Rattus norvegicus: one gene and its partners. The protein of the gene in region 3 binds, or shares a complex with, the protein of the main gene of each other region. Links are inferred from orthologs where the notes say so. Each region holds a gene or a part of one and is shown on either strand. Other genes may lie near its edges.

Region 1 (4,217 bases), on a different chromosome or scaffold from region 3:
TTGGTGGGTTTGCAAGCTGGTACAGCCACTCTGGAAATCAATCTGGAGGTTCCTCAGAAAATTGGAAGTAGTACTATCTTAGGACCCAGTTATACCACTCCTGGGCATATACCCAAAAGATGCTCTAACGTATAACAAGGACACATGCTCCACTATGTTCACAGTAGCCTTATTTATAATAGCCAGAAGCTGGAAAGAATCAAATAACCCTCAACAGAGGATGGATATAAAATGTGGTATATTTCTACAAAAATAATGACTTCATGAAATCCATAGGCAAATCGATGGAACTAGAAAATATCATCCCTAGTGAGGTAACCCAATCACAAAAAAAAAAACAAAAAACAAAAAAACAAAAAAAAAAAAACCACATGGTATGCACACTCACTGATAGTGGATATTAGCCAAAAATCTCGAATTACCCAAGATCCAATCCACAGACCACATGAAGCTTAAGAAGGACGACCAAACTGTGGATGCTTCAGTTCTTCTTAAAAGGGGGAGTAAAAATATTCATAGGAGGAGATATGGAGACAAAGCTTGGAACAGAGACTGAAGGAATTGCCATTCAGAACCTGCCCTACCTGAGGTTCCAGCCCATAAACATACAATATTTCTGATGCCCAGAAGTGCATGCTGACAGGAGCCTGATACAGCTGTCTCCTGAGAGGCTCAGTCAGAGCATTACAAATACACAGGCAAATGCTAGCAGCAAACCATTGAACTGAGAACGGGGTACCATTGGAGGAGTTAGAGAAAGGATTGAAGGAGGTGAAGGAGCTTGCAACCCCATAAGAACAACAATACCAACCAACCAGAGCTCCAGGGACTAAATCACCATCCAAAGACTATATACATGGACAAACCCATGGCTACAGCTGCATATGTAGCAGAGTATGGCCTTGTTGGGCACTAAGGGGAGGAAAAGTCCTTGGTCTTACCAAGGCTGGATCCTCATTGTTGGGGAATGTCAGGGTGGGGAGGTGGGAAGCGGTTGGTGGTTGGGGACGGGGAACACCTTCATAGAAGAAGGGGAAGTGGGGATGGGATACGGTGTTTATGAATGGGAAACCGGAAAGGGGAATAACATTTGAAATGTAAATAAAAATATCCAATTTAAAAAATTAAAAAAAAAAAGCCAAGACCACAGTGTTAGGCACACTACTGATTAGTGATTTATTTTTACATAGCATCCGCTAGGGGGCAACACAGACCATTCATAGACTCTCCAGCCAAGCCAGACGAACCTTTAGCCAAAACTAATGTGCGCTGATGCACAGCTACTTAAAGTCGGAGTTCCAGGATCTAGTATCCACGCCTGCTACTGAGCAGGCGTAAATATGCGCACTCCATTGGTCGAGGTTCCGGAAGGGGCAGGGTCCTGAAAGGAACACTGGCTTCCGGTTGGGCCTGCCGCCTGCTGTTTCATCCACCGCGGTTCCTCCGTTCGGTGCGGCGTGGCGATGCCTAGCGGTGCGGAGCACCCCGGAGACAGCGCCGCGCCGGGACCCACCCGCACATCGACCGCGCACGCCGAGGCCCTTAGCAGTAAGGTGCCGTGGGACGCCGAGGATGGGCGGTGGGCGGCGGGCGGCGGGAAACGGGTCCCGCGGTCGCATCGGTGCCCAGTAGCCTCACCGGTCCATTCTCAGCACCGGCCGCTGGTTTCCCCTGCGTCCTGCAGATTTGCTATGATGGAGGCACAGATTTATCCACTGCAAACAACAGTGATACTGAGACAGAGGTCTTAATGACGTTTTTCCTTTACGCGTTTGCACCACTCTCCTCTCGGAACCCTTCACACATGTGATCTGTTGCTCGTTGGCTGTGCTTCATCCATTTAGCCATGTACCCGCCTGGACGCCATCCATGACGTCCATCATGAAAGTTTAGAAATCTGCCCGTTCTTCCAGACTCAGGCAAAATTTTCTTAACCGAAGTTATCAGTTGCCTGTTGACCTTAAAATATATTCTCACCTTTAAGTGATCCTAAAAACATCAGTTTGGTCATCTCTTTATTATTCAACCAGGACTGTAGCAGATTAATTTTTTCCCTTCCTCTTTTTGGGATAGGGTTTCATAAGTAGCTCAGGCCAGCCTCAAATATTGTTTGAGGATCACCTTGAATTATTCTCTTGCCTAATAGTCAGGATTTCAGGGAGGCAACCCCATACCTGAACTGTACAGTGATCTCAACTTCCAGTTACAGACAAAAATCTTTAAACGTGTGGATTGGAGGGGGTGTGGGTGCAGCCTTTTCAGTTATTAAACATCCTGAATTCCATATTTTTTTTCTGTCCTGTATGACATCTTCAGTACATTGCCTTATTTCCAGTGTGCCACAGTATTCTGTGGTGTCACCTAAAGTGAGATATATTATATACCTGTCGTTTGTAGTGAGCATAAAAGCGCTGTACAAGCAGCCTTGAATCTCAGGGAGGGTGTACTCAATGTAGCTTTGTCGTATGTTAGTACAGCTCTTAGCACTGCCCATGCACACTCATTTGGGTGGGGATGAGTTTTCAGAATACTCTGGCTACTGCCATAGCAAGCCTCTTGGCACTGTGTAGCTGTGTCAGTGTAGACTTATTGCCTATTTGGGCATTTCATCTGATGATAAGGAACAAACTGAGCTTAAGGATACCAGCAGTATGCTGTCCTTAATACTCAAAATAGAATGATACAAGGGTGGGAGATGATGTTGTACCACTGCAGGAAGGGCGTTCGTTCAGTACCGTTCCGTTCATTTTATCCGAATGTCTGGCTGTCATCCAGTGCATACATCATAAAACCACTGGCTATTGGTAAAGAGGAGAAGCCACATTCATTTCTCTTTTTTAGTCTACAGCCAGGCCTTATAAAATTAAAAGATTGGTATTAATTTGGCTAGACAGTGTCTCACCCTGGTTAAAGATGTGAGCTGTGGTAACTGGCGCCTGGCAAGTCTAAGTCAGCTTCTTTCTCCAGCTGTCTTCTACTGGTTCCAGCCTGAGTGTGGTTGCATCTGTACAGTATCCATTTAGACAGGCAGTCCATGACAGGCCCCAGTCCCATGTTTTGTTTTAAAGCAGTTGCTAAAAATGTGCTCACTAAACATAGTTTGAAAACTTCCACTTTAGGTTTTTTTCTTTACTTTAATAGATTAAAGAACAGAAAGTTATTGTGGATGAACTTTCTAACCTGAAGAAGAATCGGGTAAGTTGCTGTGGGAATCTGAATAGTATATATATATATAATATTAAAATTATGATTTAGATTATTTATGCTAACATTGCAAAATTCAAACATCGTAATTTAAAAACTAAAGTGATATCCTCATTTGGTTTTGCATGTTTTAAATTTGTTCTTCCTGTATAAGTCAGTAGATCTCAAAGATGAAAAAATTATATTTTAACAAAAAAGAATGAAGTTTTCCATAGAAAACTTTAATATTCCAAATACTTAACCCATTTCATGGCTTTTAAATAAATGTGTTAATAAATCAGCTACAATTAACTAATAATCGACATTTCTGATATTGTCATTTGTGAAATATTAGATGCTAGGGCAAATTAATACAGAAATTTTTGGAGATCAAACTGGCAAAATGAGTAAATGCTGTATGACACTTCAGAGTAACCGGTGTGGAAGCAGTTGTGAGGATGAATGCGTGTTTACCTGCAAAGGTACTTGCCAGCATCTGTAGTGAAGAGTTGACAGAACAGTAAATGACTGAGCTTGAAGGCAGTAAAGAACTATACATTGTACCAATGTGGTGATATAAAAGAACCTTCCTTGGTCAGAAAAGATCTCCATGTATTATTCGTTTATGAACTAAATTATAAACCTGTTGCTGTGATAGCCTTTGTTATTTGAAAGACTATGGTGTGATGACACATGTGAAGCAAACAACCGTCTCTGGGTGGCATAGTGATCAGTGACTTTGTTTATCTGTGGTAATCACTCTTCTGAATATTCCTGAAGTTCAAGAGTGGGTGATAAGAGGATCCTGTTCAACATCACTGTGCAAGTCGCATTCTTCTTTTTTATTAGCATGTCATGGGTACTGCGGCCTGAAGCATGGACTTTCAGTGCAAGGACATGATTGTCATGACCCTGGGACACCACTCATGGGTGGCTAGGAATATTGGTGCTGTATGATGGAGTGAATGGACTGTGACATAGTAGGTGCTCTCATAGCACAACACAGGAGAAAGCAGAATACAGACTTCATTGCC
Region 2 (4,067 bases), on a different chromosome or scaffold from region 3:
GGCAAAACACCCATATGGATAGATTACAAAAATGAAAAGACTTGGCACTCCCTGGAACTTGTCTAGCAATCTCTGCCTTTGGTTTCTCGGCTGCCTGTCACTTGTCACTTCTGTTCCCAGTCACTCTAGAACTCACTAGCTGCCTTTTATCACTGTCTTCACTGCTATAGCCACTCGGCATGTCTTCATATTACCAGCTCAGTCCACCATACTATTAATCCAGGTGGATAGACCACTGGAGAAATCTTACAATGGGACTAATGTTACAACACAACTGTACATTGTACAGCACAGGAGGGTGTCTCCTGGCTGACTTAAAAGTGAGGGGCACCTGCTTAGAATGCCAGAATGTCAGAGGGTAAACAAGAATGTTTGCTGTCCTTAGTACAGCCCTCCATGCAAATGAAGCATTAAATTTACACTATGGTACAGTGGGTTGTGGAAATGGACTACCATGTTTGCACCAATAACCAAACAGTTGCTTATTCAAATAAAGGGCCATGTTTCTTCACAAGTCACAGGCAGTTTTTGTTTGGCTACCTGGAGAACTGTACCCACTCAAGACAGGTGAAAATGGCTGGTCAGAGTATGGTGGCAGCACCTTTAATCCCAGCAACTCAGGAGGCAGAGACACCTTCTCTTCTTTTTTAAAAGTTTCTTGGGCATGTGATGATCAAAATCATGACATAAAGTGTTTGAAAAGTTTGGGCTGGAATAGTGCCTTCAGGATCTAGTGTATTCTGGAAAAAATGGGCTGGAAAAGAGTGGTTGGCTGGGCAGCTTCCTCAGGGCATCCTTGGGGTGTCTAAATTAGGTGTGAGTGGGAGAACTTTGGGCAGCTGCTTCGTTGATAGTTCTCTCAGGACATCCAAGCACCTGGGAAAGGTCTAATAATTGTCAGTGAAGGAGTCAACTCACCCTGGCATAAACATCTTATACTAAAGAAAAAAAGCATTAAAAGAGGAGTTTATAATTAAAAACCTGCCATTCACATTAATAGCGCTTAAGAATCTGACGGTTCCCAGTCAAACCTGGCCAGGGCAGGAAATGCCTGCCCTGGGGGAACCTAACCTGTGACACAGACGGAAGTTGGTGGGTGAAACTCAGCCGCCGACAAGCGTAGCTTGTAGCCAATAGAAAACGAAGTCTTTTCGCTTCAACCAATGGCGTACTAATAAGGGCGGGTCCTGGAGAGCGGCCTAGTAACGGCCGCGTGGTAACCCAGGCGCCTGGCGTGCCGTAGTTCCTAGTCTCCACGCAGGTTGTGGCTGCACACACTCGTCAAAATGAAGATTGAGGAGGTGAAGAGCACCACGAAGACGCAACGCATTGCCTCCCACAGCCACGTGAAGGGGCTGGGGCTGGATGAGAGCGGCCTGGCCAAGCAGGCGGCTTCGGGGCTCGTGGGCCAGGAGAACGCGAGAGAGGTGGGCGTGGGGCGTGTGCACGCGGTGTGGGCGGCGGGACCAGGTCTCACTAAGATTTGTCTGAGAAGTGAGGATCACATTAGCCAGCAAGGGTCACGGCAGGCAAATTAGGCCTCACCGGAAACACAGTGGAAAGCTGTGGGATTAAATGTAGAATTGACTAAATTTTCGGAGTTGATATGGGTTCTTTAGGCCTGGGAGCTGATCTGTTAAGTGGAGCGGTGAGGAGGAACACTATGACCTATTCCCCATCCAAGCACTCTAGCTTTTCCAGTTCAGTCTTCTTAAAGTCATTGGAAGTTATGCCAGGTCTTTCGATCGGTTCTGTTTTGCACACGAAGAAATTAAAGGTGGGCCAGGTCGCTTAACCACCTGCCAGTTCAGCAGTAATGAGGCTGGTATTCTCCCGACCCCACCCCAAATGATTACTCTTCCCATTTCCTCAGACTGCTCCACTTTGATCCCTGCAGAGACTCAGTATCTACAAAAACTTGCTGTTTATATGTGGTGAAGACTGCTTTCCCAGCCTCAAGAGCATCATCTATCCAAAAGGGAAACGTTTGACCCTAGCTCACTTGCATCTTTTTTTGCAAGCAATAGTTTAATGCTTTCTATTTGTCAGGCGGCTTTATTGTCTGTTATTTCATTTCTGTCTAATAAACCTCACTTTGGTCTGATGTTTCTAAGCACACAGAAACATTGACATGTTTGCACATTAAATCCCAGTGTGCCAAAATTCTACAGTTAACATTTTACAGTGATGCTTTATGGTATATCTGTTCATGTATGTCTACCGTCACAAGTCAGAGTAAACTGTGGACATCAGCCCACTTTGCACATAAGCCCTTCCTTGTGGGTACAGTTGTTTTGAACACTCGGAGTCAGATGAGTAATAGGTGTTAGGTAAAATAAATCTGAGGACACTCACCTCAAGTGAAATGGCCAGGATAGATACTGGATTGTATGTGACTTCAGAGTCTGTTCTAGACCTGCCTCTGCACTGGGTTCTTGTTTGGCCAATCACGCTAGCAGCCTCCCTGGTACTCAGTATCTTCACCCTTATTATTATTGTCATTAGCTGGTATTTATTTATTTTTTTTATTTTTTATTTTTTTGATTCAATAAAGTTTTATTTTCCCAAATGTACAGCTGATTCAATCTGTTTATGCATCTTCACCAGCAGCTGGGGCATCTCCACCCTTTGTGTTTCTGGTGTAAATTACTTGGGCTCTGTGCTTTGAAACCAGCTTGATAAGTCCTTTACTAAGTAGCTCCTGAAGGGCTGCCCTGGCCAAGGAACCTCGAATCTTCAGTCTCTCGGAGACCACAGCTGGAGTAATAAGCTTATAGTTGGGAACTTCCTTACAAAGTTTGTCGTAAGTAGCTTTGTCAAACAGGATGAGATTGTTCAGCTTGTCCCGAACTTTGCCTTTGGACCACTTCTTCTTTTTGGCCTTGCCACCAGATTTATTTACTGGGTCCTTGTCTTTTTTGGCCGACTTTCCGGCATCCTTCTTCTTCTTGTCGTCTTTGGGCAGCATGGCGAAACTCAGAGAGTAGTGTGGACCACTGCAGCCACACTCTGGTATTTATTTTTGTATGTTTGTTTTCACGACAGGGTCTCACTTTTAGCTCTGGCTGTCCTGAGACTCTGTAGACCCTGCTGGCCTTGAGTTCACAGGGATCCATCCGCCTCTGCCTCCTGAGTGCTGAGATTAAAGGCGTGGGCCTTTACTATGCACCTGGCTTCCTTAGCTGGTATCTCTTTCTTTTCCTATTTGACACAATGTGTGCGTAGGCTGTGCAGTTATAGGCCTGCCATGGTGTTTGGGTAGAGGTCAGAGGTTCCTCCTTCCATTGTGGGATCCAGGGATTGAACTAAGGTTTACACTGCAGGTGCTTTTTACCCACTGAGCATCTCACCAGCTCTTTCCAACTCTTATTGGTTGGATTCATAGCACACCCTTTTTGTTTAGATAATGTTGCCGTAGCCAAACTGGCCTGGAATGCACAGCCCTGCTGCTTTTGTTAAGTACTAGGTCTGTGTTGGCTCCTGCCTGCCTCAACCTCCCCTTTCCCTTCTGTTCACTATACTTTGGTAGCTGCAGCATGTTGACCCTTAGACATATCAAACTTGTACTTTGGTTATTTTCAATTTGCAATTTTTGCCTGAAATGTAGATTTCTGCCCGGGGCTTCAAATGTTACATACAAGGTTATGAGAAAGCCCCCTCCGCCCCAGCTCTCCCTAGCTGCTCAGTGTCTCATTTTGCTTCTCTCTTTGTGGGAGCCATCATATGGCATGAGCTAGAGCACGTGGCTCACCCCCACCGCTCCACCCCACAGCAGTGGTGTCCTGTCAGAAGAGCATCGGAACTGTGTGGACCAAGCCCTGAACTGTTTCTACCATGAAGCATTTTAAGATTGACTGATTGTTTCTTTCTGTTTTGTGCAGGCATGTGGTGTCATAGTCGAATTAATCAAAAGCAAGAAAATGGCTGGAAGAGCTGTCTTGTTGGCAGGGCCTCCTGGAACTGGCAAGGTATTCATTCATTTTCTCTCTCTCTTTTTTTTTTTTTTCCTTTTCTTTCCCTTTTTTTCTGGAGCTGGGGACCGAACCCAGGGCCTTGCGCTTGCTAGG
Region 3 (3,440 bases):
GATTCAGGTCAAAGTGCTGGCAAGGGTCAAAATTAACCATGAAAAACTGAACTCGCCCCACCCGGTCTCCTGGGCCCCTCCTCTTCCCGCTCGGGCTCACCTTGGCAGCACTAGAGATGTCCACAGCCTCCACGATGTCTGTCTGCAGTATTTTTGCTGTGTCTTCCCCATCTTCTCCTACCAGAAACCTGAAAGGCGGTTAGGGTGGCGATGGTGACACTCCCCACCATGGAAGCGGGCATACAAACATAAAAACACCAACACAAAGTTCCAGAAAGACAGGACGAGGGAAAACCCAAGTCGGGGTCCACTCACCCAGGTTCCTCTGCAAGCAGCAGCTCAGCGCGGGCAGCTCTGACGCTCGCCTCTTCCTCCTGTGCTTCAGCCTTCTCCAGTTGGCTTTGGGTTTTAGGCTTCGAATGCGGGAGCTGCGGTATTGATGACAGGGTTGGAAGAACCGAAGAGCATGTTGCGGGGGAGGGGGAGGTCCTGGGAAAGACACTGGAAAAGCCGCCACCGCCCGCGGTTCCTTACCTTTTTGGACTTGTCAATACGGCAGAACTTCCTGGCCACCTCCAGGGGGGCGGGGACAGGTCCTGGGAACGGGTCCTGAGCCTATCGAGGGGCAGGGAGGTAAGAGGCAGGTTCTGATGGACCCGGTTCCTCTCGTTCTCAGGGGGCGACCTGCACCGCCACCCTGTCAATCCCGGGCTCACCCCAGACAGGGTCCTCTGCGGCTTCTTCCAGTCTGAGGCGTTCTTTGGGATCGGGGGCTTCTTGGAGAACCGAGGCTTCTGGGCGATGCGCGCGCTCTGGGACCTCGGGGGTCGCGGCTCCCCAGTCCTCGCCTTCTTCCGTGGCGGCCCCGGAGAGGCGCCGGCGGCGGACGGGGTGGGCTCCTCCTCCCAGTAGCGCCGCGGTTTCTAAGGGGCAGAGGAGAAGCCCTCGCACGCGCAGCCCGAGCCGGGCCCCGGGGCGCGGACGCCTCCCACCAAAACTACCTTCCTCTTGGCCTGAGGCTTGTCTTTCTTGGGTGGGTCACCCCTACCCGGCTTGGGGGCTGTCTCCATCCCGACGACGGAACGACGATCCACGTGCAAAACTCCTTTCAGTCTTCCCAAGGCCTGCGAGGAAACTTCCGGAAGTCCCCGAGACTTCATCCAATCATCGCCGTAAGGGCGTCTGAAGCCTCTGGCGCCATGTTGAGAGAGGGCACGCCCCTGAGAGCCGGATAGGCTCGCTAACAAAGCAAATTCTAACCAAATAAAGATTTAAAAAAAGTCTAGGTCCAAAATCCTGGTGGTGATAAGCTTTTACTTTCCATATTAAATGCTCTGTCTTGCCCAAAATCTCTCGAGTCCAGTCTTTTAAGTAGAACAAGCCTCACACAAGTCAGAACTACACGTCCCGGCATGTGTCAGAATGTAACTTCCGGCGCCGTCTTTTTTCCCCCGGCATGCCTTGTTTATTTCCGGGTTTATGAATACAGAGGGCAGAGCGTGAAAAGGTTAGGGTTTGGATTTAGGGGGGTGTCTCTTCTTTTCGCTCTCTAATGCCTAGGGAGTGACTATTCTGGACGTAGAGAGTCCACGGTAGCTCGTGCTGTCCTTCTGCAGGGCCAGGAAGGGGAGCTCAGGTGCTTTTCAGAGCTTGAGACCCAGCGACCCCCGCCCAGGAGGCTTTCTCCTTCACCATGGCCGAACTGATCCAAAAGAAGCTGCAGGGAGAGGTAGAGAAATATCAACAGCTGCAGAAGGGTAAGAGAGCGGAGCTGGTGTGGTCTTGTCCCTGTCCACTCTCAACTCTGATGAGGCGTCGTGCCCCATCAGAGGGTAGGAAGGGGGGATATTGTGTGCAGCGAACTCGGTATCCTCTCTTTCTTCCTCGCAACCATTCTCCCCAGAATTGTGCGGTTCCGGGCCCATTTGATGTTTCTAATCGTGTATTTCCTCTCACCATCCCAGACTTGAGTAAATCCATGTCAGGGAGGCAGAAGCTTGAAGCCCAGCTAACGGAAAATAACATTGTGAAGGAGGTGAGGGTGGGACGCTGGGGGAGGGGGGGAAGGGCGAGGAGGGACTTCCCTGGGCACTGTTATGTCATACACCGCCCCATCCCCTCTTCAGGAACTGGCCTTGCTGGATGGATCCAACGTGGTCTTTAAGCTTCTGGGACCCGTGCTTGTCAAACAGGAGCTGGGGGAGGCTCGGGCCACAGTGGGGAAGAGGCTAGACTACATCACAGCGGAAATGTAAGTGCAGCAGCTGGCCTTTTCAGTGCAGAAATGTTGAGCCCGTGCTGGATAGTTCTATATCTATAGCAACGCCCGCCTAGCCACTTCCATAAAGTGGCTGCCCTGGAACTCGCTGTGTAGACCGTGCTAGCCTGTGGTAGATGCACCAGCTGCTGCCTCCCAAGGGATGGAAGCATGTGCCACCATTCCTGGCCTTTCTTTTCGTGTTACATTTGGGCCTGGCCCATATTAGTCAAAGGATAACCTGTGGGAATGTTCTCCCTACTGTAGGGTTCTTCTGTAGCTTGAATTCAGGTGCCAGCCTTGAAGGACAACAGCCCTACCTAACTGATCCATCTCACCAGCCAGTTCTTCCCCTTAGCGCCCTCCCCGCTTTCTGTCCCACAAACCTCAAATGTTCCACCAGTTTCCCTTTATTCCAGAACGTTGAGCCCTCACTGATTTCTCCTTTCTGCCTGCCTCTCTTTTCCTTCTCAGTAAGCGCTACGAATCGCAGCTTCGGGACCTCGAAAGGCAGTCAGAGCAACAGAGGGAAACCCTTGCTCAGTTGCAGCAGGAGTTCCAGCGGGCCCAGAACGCAAAGGCTCCCGGGAAAGCCTGACCCCGTGGGAGGGGGAGGGGGCTGGGGAGGGAGGGATGAGGCTAACCCTGAGTCAATAAAATGTAAACAGAACCAAACCTACTTTCTTTCTAGCCAGTCTTTATTCACAGTCCTTAACTTCTCTGTACGCTTTACACCTCCGGGACTCACATTCCTGTGACTGAAATCTCTAGCTGGATTCTCCCGTGGCTGAGAACTGAACCTAGGGTGTTGCCTGTGTGCCCTCAGTTTCAAAACTTGAGTCTGAAATGTCTCAAGCTATTTCTTTTTTTTTTTTTTTTCTTTTTTTTCGGAGCTGGGGACCGAACCCAGGGCCTTGCGCTTGCTAGGCAAGTGCTCTACCACTGAGCTAAATCCCCAACCCCTACTATTTCTTGCTCATATATACAACCCTTTGGCTTCCCTTATGTTGGTGGGCGCAACCCGGGGACACCGGAGTAGACACTGTCTACAGCACAGCATGTCATTGCCACAGAACTCAGTTCTCTGGCCTGAGAGCCCAGGATATGACCCGGTCATTCGCTGTGAACACTTGTCCCGGAGCAGCCCTAGGTTACCTGATTTCCTCTGTCTTCTTAGGATTGG
Region 4 (4,062 bases), on a different chromosome or scaffold from region 3:
ACACTTAAATTGGGAAGAAAAGTTCCACAGGTAAAGAACCAAAGAACCAGAGTTTGAGAACTTGGGGGGTGGGGGAGGTATGGTATTGAGGCATGAACTGCCTGGCAATGGAATGCTAGGGAACTTAAATTCTGAGGCTTGTTATCCAAGTGCTGGGGAAGAGAGGGTCAATGGACTCTCTGGCCAGCCATCCTAGCCTGGCTGGTGAGTTCTAGGCCACATGAAAAAAACTTGTGTCAAAGAACAACAAGGCTGACTGTGTCTTCTTCAAGTCTTGCAATACAGCTCTTTTAAATCTTCCAGCATTTCCAAGGCCGGGCAGTTCATGGCTCAAGGCTTATGAACACATTTCTTCTAACGAAAAAAAAAAATCCTCACATTGACTAACTTTCCTCAGCCTTTAGAATTAAGCTGAAGAATCCTCTAGAAAATAAAAACAAATTAGCATTTAGAAAGATTGTTCAGATCATGTGCATGTATGTATGTGTTTGTGTGAGATGAGGTGCTCAAGTGCAGAAGCCATCTCTCCACCCCTAACTAGCATTTAGTCAACACACTCTGTAGTCTCTGTTTTTTAGTCATGGTGATGGGGGGGGAGGGTGTCGAATGAATTTTCTTGCCTAGTACACTAAATAGTTATGAAATGGGAAGTACATGTTTTCACAGATAGAGGAGGGTAAAAAGTAAGAAGAGAAATCATGTGCAGAAGTTTTTGGTGTAAGGACTGGAGCAATGGCTCGGTGGAAGAACTGTTACTTCTATAGCAGAAGGCCTGGGTTTGGTTCTCAAGACCCACATGGTAGCTAATAAGCAGTTATCAGGGGCTTGGACCCCTCTTCTGGCCTCCAATGGCTCCTGCACAGGTGTGGTACATGCACACACTCAGACATGCAAATATACATAACATATTTTTGAAGTCTCGTTGTTTCATTTTTATTTGCCATTCTGTCTGTCTTGTTTGTTTTTGAGATTGTGTTTCACTCTGTAACCTAGGCTAGCCTGGAACTGAGAGGGTAACCCATTGGGATTATGGGTATGAGCCATCACACTTGGCTGTGTCCAAATTTAAGATAAAGTCTATTTCACTTACCTGTTTCTCTGTGTTAAGCAAAGTATAACACAAGACAGACTCTCAAAAGCTTTACTTTTTTTCTTTCCCACTGTCAAGGTGCCTCTTCCATCCCCAGAATGTCACTTCTCTTTGAATACTTACTTTCCGACTCATAGTAGAACTGTAAACCCCACTTCAACAGACGATGCTCTCCAACAGTATGGGTTTTAAACTATTTCTGCTGATACTTTTTTTTAAAGATGTATTTATTTATTATATATAAGTACACTGTAGCTATCCTCAGACACACCAGAAGGCATCAGATCTCATTACAGATGGTTGGGAGTCACCATGTGGTTTCTGGGATTTGAACCCAGGACCCATGGAAGAGCAGTCAGTGCTCTTAACGGCTGAGCCACCACTCCAGTCCCTATGCTGATACTTTTACCTGCAGTGATTGCTCAACAAGCAACTGACAAATATATGATTAAAATAGCTCTTCAATCCCAACCCTGGACCTCCATACCAGGTGAGAACAGACACCCACCCAGACCCCACACCTCAAGGCTTTCCCATTTAACCCACCAAACTACACCCCTAGCTTCAACTATTTTCATTTCGATTGTGTGTTCTTCTTCTTCTTTTTTTTTTTTTTTTTTGGTTCTTTTTTTCGGAGCTGGGGACCGAACCCAGGGCCTTGCGCTTCCTAGGCAAGCGCTCTACCACTGAGCTAAACTAAATCCCCAACCCCAATTGTGTGTTCTTCTAATATCAATTAAACACTAGTCCCAAGACTAACAAAACATGGTCCCTATACCACAAAGGGCTTTCTGATTAATTCGTCAGATGTATCCCGATGTTATGAAGAGCAGAATCACACCTGCATTAGAAAATGGTTTCTAGCCTCTTCTGAAAACTTAAGTCTCTGCAGAAGGGAGCATAGAGAGTGAGCTGGACCATGTCTCAAAAAACGAAAACAACCCGAGCCAGGAATAGTAGTCCCAGATAATCCCAGTATTTGGGAGGCAGAAACAAGCGAATCTCTGTGAGTTCCAGGCCAGCTTGGTCTACATAGTGAATTCCAGAAAAGCAAGGCTACATAGAGCGACCCAGCCCGACCCTATAGCAACCCTCATCCCCACCCCAAGACAAAACAAAAACAAAACAAAACAAGAAAATAACTAAGCCACAGTCTCCTTAGTCCAAATAGTTACTGAACACTAAACTGGTCAGAGTCTGAGTCACGTGGCTCTGCAGCGTGTTTGTGATGGTGAACACGGTTTTGGAGTCAAAGACTAAATAACCCACTCACTGACTAAGAACAGCCTGGGATTCGTTACTAGATGACACTTCAAACACCATATTCTCTTTAGGGTACCTCGTAGAGGGGGAGACGACGATCCATGTCCTTAGGGACCTGGACAACCCTCCCAGATCCTGCATCTAAGAGCTTTCTCTCTCGACTACCCACCCACACCCCGGGCGTGCCTCTCACCTACCTACCCCACCTACTCACGCCCTAGAAAGGATTGTGATCACCCCCAAAAACGCCCTCTCCCCTGTGCGTGACCACGGAGAACGTGGGAAGGACTAAAGGCCCCTCTGAATCACAAGTCCTTTTCCTTGCACGAACTCGACACCGACCCAGGTGCCTTCTACGCTCGCGGTTCCTCACCTGTTCCGCCGACACCGCCCCCTTCCCCGTGCCACTCCCGCCGCTCTTGCCCACACGACCGCTGCTGTCCGCCATCTTCCCCACCTGCAAGCTTTCCGGCCTGCGCACTCCCACTGCGTCACATCCGCTCTAGTGGTTACCGCCCACTTGCTCCTGCGCTTCTGGCTTCTGGCAGCTCTTCAGATCCGACCCTGCGAATGGTTTTGGCTGTGTCTTCATGTAGGACCTACTCCCCAACCCTGCCTGCTGCGGTGAATTCCACCTGCTATGCTTTAACTTGTGCAACAGAGATTCTTGCCCCGGGGAGAGCCGGGGAAGGACGCGCTAATCAGAGGGCGGGGGCTCGGGTTGGGATCTGATCTTGTACCCATCTACCTACCCACCACGAGAATGGTGGAGATCTAAGGAGGGTGAACTTTCCTTCTGAGATTCTGGTACAAGGGGAAAGATACATGTTGAGTCTATAAAGCTGTCCAGGTGGCACAGCCGAGAAGAGAGAATTGGGGAAACGAGGAAGGTTCCATGAGATGACTTGAACTGCGGAAACGTTTGGCAGAGGAAAAGGGCTTCAGTTTTAATGTGAGATCACTGGAAGTTGAGGTATTAAGGCACCGATCATAGTGTCCTCTTCCATTTTCCCATTTTATGATCTCATAACTACTAGTAGTAAAGTGTTTTCGAAGCCTTGGGGGAGGGGATTACTGGCCAGGTCTGGAAATGGCAGAGAATTCTAGAAACTTACAGCTTGAAGGAGGGTTAGGTGTCCTGATTTTTCACCTTCTTCAGGCTGGGCTTCATCACCAGGCCTCCTCATCAACTCCTGTCCCTTCTGTGTACCGGATACCGATTACCTCAAATCTCAGTACTTTGTACTCAGCCCAGGTAACATATTTTATGTTCTTTGTCTAGCACGTAGTTGCTAAGTCCATGTTTATTAACCGAATAGTGGACCTGCCATCCACCAAACATTTAATGCGTGTACTCCAGTAGCTTAGGGTTATTTAATGCTCTGGAAGAATGAAAACAAGTCGCTAGGGTTGGTGGGACACACCTCTAATCCCAGCACTCGGGAAACAGGCAGGAGGATCAACTAGGAGTTTAAGATCATCCCCGCTACATAGAAAGGTCTGCCTGGGCTACAAAAAGACCCGGTCTCAAAGGGGAGGTAAAATCAGAAAAAAAAAAAGTAAGTTTCCGGCTCCACCCCCACTTGAGCCTCCCAAGTTTCTCCGCGGCACGCGGTAGAAATCCTGAGAAAACTGCCTGTGTCATTCACAGGCCCAGAGCCATGGCAGAGTCCTCATCGACTTCCTGGGAGCTGCCCCTGGTGGCTGTG

Evidence for each region.
Region 1: Pfdn6 (region 3) and Asdurf share a complex: the UniProt entries of both Homo sapiens proteins name them as parts of the PAQosome complex. The link is inferred for Rattus norvegicus from reciprocal best matches to the Homo sapiens genes PFDN6 and ASDURF.
Region 2: Pfdn6 (region 3) and Ruvbl1 share a complex: the UniProt entries of both Homo sapiens proteins name them as parts of the PAQosome complex. The link is inferred for Rattus norvegicus from reciprocal best matches to the Homo sapiens genes PFDN6 and RUVBL1.
Region 4: Pfdn6 (region 3) and Pfdn2 share a complex: the UniProt entries of both Homo sapiens proteins name them as parts of the PAQosome complex. The link is inferred for Rattus norvegicus from reciprocal best matches to the Homo sapiens genes PFDN6 and PFDN2.

Annotation. Positions count from the first base shown.
Region 1 is NC_086027.1:55,617,393-55,621,609, forward strand, and holds the start of Asdurf (ASNSD1 upstream open reading frame protein), read left to right. Parts: upstream 1-1,406; 5' UTR 1,407-1,463; coding exon 1,464-1,553; intron 1,554-3,141; coding exon 3,142-3,195; intron 3,196-4,217.
Region 2 is NC_086022.1:122,488,498-122,492,564, forward strand, and holds the start of Ruvbl1 (ruvB-like 1), read left to right. Parts: upstream 1-1,256; 5' UTR 1,257-1,286; coding exon 1,287-1,427; intron 1,428-2,511; exon of another isoform or gene 2,512-2,590; coding exon of another isoform or gene 2,591-2,968; exon of another isoform or gene 2,969-3,030; intron 3,031-3,881; coding exon 3,882-3,968; intron 3,969-4,067. Other genes in the region: Rps25l3 (small ribosomal subunit protein eS25-like), read right to left, coding at 2,591-2,968. UniProt on the Homo sapiens protein: Possesses single-stranded DNA-stimulated ATPase and ATP-dependent DNA helicase (3' to 5') activity; hexamerization is thought to be critical for ATP hydrolysis and adjacent subunits in the ring-like structure contribute to the ATPase activity.
Region 3 is NC_086038.1:4,946,383-4,949,822, forward strand, and holds Pfdn6 (prefoldin subunit 6), read left to right. Parts: upstream 1-1,461; 5' UTR 1,462-1,693; coding exon 1,694-1,757; intron 1,758-1,964; coding exon 1,965-2,035; intron 2,036-2,126; coding exon 2,127-2,251; intron 2,252-2,731; coding exon 2,732-2,855; 3' UTR 2,856-2,936; downstream 2,937-3,440. Other genes in the region: Wdr46 (WD repeat-containing protein 46), read right to left, coding at 1-16, 101-188, 316-428, 535-615, 717-923, 1,002-1,070. UniProt on the Homo sapiens protein: Binds specifically to cytosolic chaperonin (c-CPN) and transfers target proteins to it. Binds to nascent polypeptide chain and promotes folding in an environment in which there are many competing pathways for nonnative proteins.
Region 4 is NC_086031.1:86,304,577-86,308,638, reverse strand, and holds the start of Pfdn2 (prefoldin subunit 2), read right to left. Parts: upstream 2,812-4,062; 5' UTR 2,802-2,811; coding exon 2,727-2,801; intron 1-2,726. Other genes in the region: Nit1 (deaminated glutathione amidase), read left to right, coding at 2,944-2,945, 3,513-3,608, 4,005-4,062. UniProt on the Homo sapiens protein: Binds specifically to cytosolic chaperonin (c-CPN) and transfers target proteins to it. Binds to nascent polypeptide chain and promotes folding in an environment in which there are many competing pathways for nonnative proteins.